2 linked regions of the Schizosaccharomyces pombe genome follow. The protein of the gene in region 2 interacts with the protein of the main gene of each other region in a pairwise test. Each region holds a gene or a part of one and is shown on either strand. Other genes may lie near its edges.

Evidence for each region. Proteins that work in one complex are often made in the same cells at the same time.
Region 1: the proteins of msl1 (region 2) and lea1 interact in a two-hybrid assay, tested with the Schizosaccharomyces pombe proteins (one large-scale study listed by BioGRID).

What each region holds. Positions count from the first base shown.
Region 1 is NC_003423.3:4,144,785-4,148,430, reverse strand, and holds lea1 (U2 snRNP-associated protein Lea1), read left to right. Parts: upstream 1-2,160; 5' UTR 2,161-2,367; coding exon 2,368-2,448; intron 2,449-2,509; coding exon 2,510-3,142; 3' UTR 3,143-3,146; downstream 3,147-3,646. Other genes in the region: serine/threonine protein kinase Ppk22, read right to left, coding at 1-775; elc1 (elongin C), read right to left, coding at 3,333-3,337, 3,376-3,509, 3,553-3,601, 3,642-3,646.
Region 2 is NC_003423.3:1,374,487-1,377,626, forward strand, and holds msl1 (U2 snRNP-associated protein Msl1), read right to left. Parts: upstream 1,267-3,140; 5' UTR 1,236-1,266; coding exon 1,008-1,235; exon of another isoform or gene 935-1,007; coding exon 827-934; 3' UTR 503-826; downstream 1-502. Other genes in the region: transcription factor TFIIIC complex subunit Sfc9, read right to left, coding at 52-139, 198-294, 342-449; ribosomal protein arginine N-methyltransferase Rmt3, read right to left, coding at 1,855-3,140. UniProt on the Schizosaccharomyces pombe protein: Involved in pre-mRNA splicing. This protein is associated with snRNP U2. It binds stem loop IV of U2 snRNA.

The DNA of each region.
Region 1 (3,646 bases), 2.8 Mb from region 2:
AACAAGCATCCTTTTCAGGTAAAATATGCTTTGGAAGGGAATGCAATGCACGAAAAAACTCTCCACCTGCACAATACTCCATGCAAAGGTAAAGATAGTCCCTAGATTGGAAGGAATGATACAACGTAACAATGAACGGGTGTTTGCTCTTGGTCAAAATTTCTTGCTCTGCAAGGACTCTGTTTACCTTGTGTCTTTTAATCATCTCTCTTTTGTTTAAAATTTTCATAGCAAAGAGCCGATGGTTGCTTTTTTGGCGAACAAGATACACTTTACCCACATCACCCTGACCAAGAAGACGTATTTTTTCAAAACTATGAGGTGTGACTTCTACTCGGCTAATTTTTGTACTATTCCCAGAATAAGTTCGTTTGCCGTACTCAGTTCTTCCAAAAATGTAGTTGCCGGGGTTTTTTAAAATCTTGACCTGTGCCTTTCGAATATTGCTCATATTAATTAAAGGACGAGGAGGAGGCGCTTCTACTCCTTTGTGAGAATCAGGTGCGGAAGATACGCGTCTAAGGCTGGGACGACTATCCAATTGATCGCTACTATCATTCAGATCTAATTCATTCAATTGATTAACATTAATATCAAAGGTTGAGTCATCAGAATCATTATCCCTCTGATCATTTCGGACACTAGTAGAAACGGTTGCCGCTCGATTCCTACGAAAGTGAAACAAATTTTTCAGTTTATCTGAAAAGTGCGACTGGCTCATACCATCATCGGTGGAAGAGGGACTTTTGTCATTAAATTCAGTTTCTCGAGCCATTCTAAGTCATCCATTAATCTCGTAGCGCTTCAAACATTCACCGGTTAATAAATTTCGCTGACGGCTCACTTATAATACCTAATATAAATCAGAATGTAAGCAAACTTGAAAAACGACTTCAAAGCTCCCAAATAGTCTAATATAACTAGCCGAATGGTATTCCTCCTGCTTATATTAATTCTTGTTTCATTTGGAGGTGTCGGCAAAAGAATAGTTAGTGGAGCCACGGCCATCCTTATGTTATATAATCCTCTTTTTAAGCATATAGAAATAAACAGTCATATTGTAGCATTAACTAACAAGCAGCTTCAAAATACTTAGTTGAAGCTATTGTAAATAAAAGAAAAAACTTGTTTTTGGTTTTTATGTGTGGGTATTGATCTGTAGTTTTGTAGTAAATTCAGTTTGAATAATTCTTACTGGAACAGAATAAGTGTTAGAATAAATGCAGTGATTTTTAATTTCATATTCTCAAGAGTGACTGTATGATTTATAAGTACACGAGCTATGGAAGCACAACATTTAATCATGTATTTCTTCCACTTTCAACTACAAAAGAGGCTACTCTAAACCCAAACATTATCCGAAATGTCGATGTACATTTGTCGATATCGCTGGCATTTTCAATTAGTCCGACTCATGTGGTATTAGTATGAGGATGGATAGTTGATTCGATATTAGAAGCTGTCATATCAATTTAAATATAATTTCTTAGCAGTGCTTTCATTGAGATAGAGCAATACGATAGAAACAATCTGAAGAATTCATTAAAACTGTTACATTAAAAAACGACTTGATGTCAATATTGTTTTTGGAATGTTTTTCATTAAATGAGAAAACAAAAAGATATAGCAGTTTAGTAAGTATCTCAATGCAATTTTTTAATAGGAAAACAGGTTCCTTAAGCAACTCTGAATAATTGTAAATAACCTGGTTTCAAACTTTCGTTGGCGGTTTGTGCTCACGAAGTCAAATAGGGAGGCAGTATGAACATTATAGATGAGTTGAACTAAAACTTTGAGTGGAAAACAATGTGTGTTTCATCCAAATAGTCGATTGCTTGTGTTTGTTTTTGAGAGCTCAACAGATAAAAGAGTGTGTACCAATTTCTGACAAACTTAAGATATATATTTGACAACAATGAAAAAATGTTTTATTTAAAGGTGTCAAAACACACATATACAAAAATCATTTATTCTCTGTTTTCCCAAGAATTTTCTAGTACGAAAGCCGATTCTTGAACATGGAAGTCGTCAGTCAATTATCAAAGTATAATTACGCATAATTTGTTTTTTTTAAATCTAAAAAGTAGAAAAAGTGAGTATTTTTTGCTTATTGAGTCAAGATTTCTTTGTATTTATTTATGTGCTTACTATCCAAACTCTACCACTTTGCTTCTTCTCTTGACGTGTCATATTCTTGGTTTTTACATAATTAACTTTACATTATTAGATTCTAAAACGTTAACTATAACATTTTTTGAATAAACAATAGTGAAATTTAGGATTGTGAGCGTTTTGGATAATTTTTTAGGAATTTTAAATCATACTGCAGTAACAGCATAAAAAAGGCATTTTCATTACAAAAATTTCATGCGTCTTAATGCTGAATTTTTGTCTCAGGTACCCTCATTCATCAGTCCTTTGAAAGAAACTGAGCTTGATTTAAGATATGTTTAAAGAAATTACTGTATGCTACGTGTCATCCAGCTAACTCATAATTACAGGGTATCAGATTCCAATAATTGAAAATTTAGGAGTGTTAAGGGACGTACACGATGCAATTGATTTCACAGACAATGACATTCGATATTTAGGGAATTTCCCTCGTATGAAAAGGCTTCAAACGCTTTTGTGTGGAAATAACCGAATAACTGCTATAGCCCCAGACATAGGTAAAGTTCTTCCGAATTTAAAGACTTTATCCCTAGCACAAAATCATCTTCAAGAAATAGCAGATTTAGATCCGTTGGCTAGTTGTCCTCAACTCACTAATTTGTCGTGCATTGACAATCCAGTTGCTCAAAAACAATATTATAGATTATATCTTATATGGAGAATTCCTTCGTTACATATTTTAGATTTCGAACGGGTTAGAAGAAATGAAAGGCTTCGTGCTGAAGAAGTGTTTGGTCAAATTCAAAACCCTACAGAAATAGCTTCCTCTATTATGGGTGTGAAAAGTCGAGTATTTGATTTGGCTGCATTGGTACAAAGCCACCCAGAAGCGAATTCTCCTATTACAACTGGATATACACTTACACCTGAGGAAAGAGAAAAGATCAAAGAAGCCATTAAAAATGCCTCTTCCATTGCTGAGATAAATCGACTGGAAGCTATGCTATTAGAGGGGAAAATTCCAAAATAAAGTAACTCACAAGATTTCTAGAAACCGCATAGTTATATAATACATTTTTTCCATCTCATTTCTTGCATTCGATAGGTAACGCGTTTAATAGTTATTTAAGGCATCAAATCGTTAATCGTAAACAAAAACCGTCAATTCTTTAATGCTGTAGCAATTTAGCAATCCTTTCGTTCCTCGTGAGTAATCAGAATTATGCTGTATTCATTAGCTTTAAATAGTAATGATAATCTTACCTTCCAAATATTCCGCAGTGACCAATAATTCTAAAACCATCTCAGGTGGGATATCGAACTTTGGAATATCTAATTGATTTTTATATCTGTAATTGTAATGCAAATATTCACAAACTTTTTCCAACAGTGTTGCCCTAGACACCTTATTAGAATTGAATGAATAGACCAATTGCATACCGTATATCAGGAAATGTGCATTCATTTTTTTGCGCCTCAGAAAATATTCCTATACATTAGAATTACTTTACTAAATATCATTATCAAACCTTCG
Region 2 (3,140 bases):
GTGGAATGTTAAGTAAAGTCAAACTCAAGTCTTCTCTTTTTAAGAACATACTCGTAATTGTCTGCGAGACCTGTTGGCGACCAGACCACATAGCGGCTTATGACACTTGGAGTTAGATCTCCTAAACGAAGCTCATTAGCTGTAAAACACGTTAGCTTTTATACTCTCATAAGCATCAAAGGGCATTGGGAACATACGAGCAAGCATTTGGCAATTTGGTAGTTCATCTTCCACATCATCTAAATAGGCTAGCGCCTTCATAAACTTAGGCGTATTGGCTTCAGTTGAAGGTACCTGAAGGGAATTAGCTAGTCTCGAACACGTCAATTTGAGATATGTACCAAGATTTGGACTTTTTCTGAATCGCAAAAAGCCAATTTTCCATCGCAAGAACAAGTACAGCTATACAAGCTTGATGGAAGAAAATCCAATGCTACATCCTTTCCCATTGTAAGAAAGACGACGAGCGATGTTGAAGCCAGGTGAACAATTCCATCAAATGCGTTAAAGTTCAGTGCCTTGCGCAATGCTAGTTGAGAAAGACTTGCATGAAAAATCCACTAAAATAGCTGTAAACAAGATGATATTGGACTAGAATTTTGCTTCATCTTATAAAACTTAGCAACAATGCGATGGTGTTATCGGTCCGCTTTACTGTCTGCAAACACTGACACCTGAAACAACTAAAACCAACAGGTATATACAGTGAAGAACAAAAAGAGAGAAAAAGGAAAACCACTCTTTATAACTCTCTTGACTCCAACAGGATCCCGAAAAAAGTTACCCTATATAAAACGATAATTGTGAATTTTAGAAAATGTACAGTTTACTCAAGGTCAGCTTCATCACGTAGCCGTTTTAAAGGACCTCTGCTGTCATTTTCGGCGACGATTCTTTCAATAATCTTACTTTTCGAATGAGCGTATTGAATTTTCTTATTAAAGATGTTAGTCAATCGTTTTTGTTTTTTTATGGGGATTAATGAGAAAGCTCATTTCACAGCATACCATTTCCTTTCCGAAGAATATGAAATTTTTTAAGGCCTTCATCGCAATTGCAGCGGCAGAGGGATCAAAGAATACAACATGAGCTTGACCTCTCATCTTGGGAGTTTTCAACGCGACAATATCAACCACGGTCCCATAAGTGGAGAATAGCATATATAGTGCTGTTCTTAAATCATTTTTATTAATTTTATCATTCAAATTATTCACATAAAGTGTATTTTGATTCATTTTCGCCCTAGTTTGGTGTTTTGCAAATGCTGAACTCTTTACCTTATATTTTTACCTGCAAACACTGCGCGCTAACAATCGCTATGAGTTAACTTATTGAATGGATTGTTGAAAAGGCTCGTCTTAATTACATTAAAATGCTAAAGCTTTTACATTTTTAATTTATCTTTTAAGGCTATAAATATCCATATTTAATTTTCCGGAACGAAATATGTTTATTTGCAATTCTACGACCATTGAACGCTAGTCATCTGAATTATGATTCAAGTCACAATTATTTTTAGAGATCCCTTAAATATAATCAAATCGTAACAAAAAATCAACGATAATAATAGTTCACGTTAAAAATCTTTCCCAAGCATTGTGCAGTTGTTGATAGTTTAATCCTTATGTACTCAAATTTCCATATTTAAAAGATTGAAAAAATGTTATTTTTTAGTAGTATAGAAAATAGAGAATATTTTAAGACTAGATGATTTTTTCGATCCACCGTATTCCCACTCTGGGGAAATAATTTTACAGGAAATGCCTTAAAACCCCAGCAAGATTCCTAATCCAAAAACCTACAGCATAGTAACATTAATCAGTAATTCTATATTTTTAAGTAAAGACTTTGATCCTAATTCAACACGTAGCTTTGAGAGTCAGCTTTCCCATTTACATTCCAGTGAACCGAAATGTCCAAATCACGATTGTTTTTTTTATTTTTTGAAAAGGAAATAGTTCCTTCAACACGAGTGCCTTTTTGAAGGAAAGGACGATTACGTAGTAACAAAACGCATTGTTTCCAATGAGTAGGAGTGCCTTGAGGGCCTGTTGTAAATCCACAAGCTTCATCAATAGCTTCTGGAATAGGCTGTGTTCTCTTAGTCGTAAAATACGTATCAAACCATAAAGTGAAAGCACAAAGCGGTCCTTCGTTGTCTATAATTAGAGAGAAGGGGGAAGTAAAACTGACATCTTGAACTTTGCACGTATGCATATTAAACCTTGCAAAAACAACAGGCTTGGCGTTAACATAAGTTTGAGGAACGACTTGTACACTAACACCTTTATAAGAAGCATCCTTCATGCCATTCATTTTGAAACCATACACATCGCTCCAGAAATCAATAGGTTCTTCTAACAATTCAGTGTTTGTGGTAGCTGTAAGTACCAATCGTGTCTCGGACGGTGCCATAATTCCAGAAGGTGCAAGGAAGCGATCTCTGGCAACAAGGACGGAATCAATCATACTCTCAAACGTTAGAGCATAGCCCATCCATTCCGAAATAATGATATCTACCTTGCCAACCGGTAAACTGATATCTTCGATTTTTCCACGAATAAAAGTAATTTGATCAGCAAGACCATTTTCAAAAGCATTTGAGATAGCCATTTGAATGATATCGGAGTTGTCCACAGCATAAACCTTCTTGGCGCCAGCCTTTGCGCAAAACATGGATAAAATGCCAGTACCGCATCCTACATCCAAAACCGTTTTTCCAGCAAAAATATGCTTATTATGATAAACGAAGTCACGGTATCCCTCGGTCCGGACAGAATCGTTTAGCATAAGGAAATGAATATCATTTCCAGCGTAAGACTCGAAATAATAAGAATCGTTATCTGCTTTCTTTGGGGTAACTGATAGCTGATCTGTAGTCTGACTAGTCAATTCATTCATTTTATCTTTTCGAATTTCTTCAAGCTGAGAGATAAGAAGTTGATTTTGTAACTTTAATTTCTTTATTTCTGCATCTTTAGAAACATCTGCTGGATTCTCTACTTCAATTTCGAGAGTATTGTCGTCCTCAAAATCTGAATCGAGTTCATCGCCAAGCGAGAAGAGTACACTGTCGTCAGGGAGTACAGAAATCATGTATTCGTCGGACCGTAAAATGTCGGAAAGTTTGTCCAAATCTG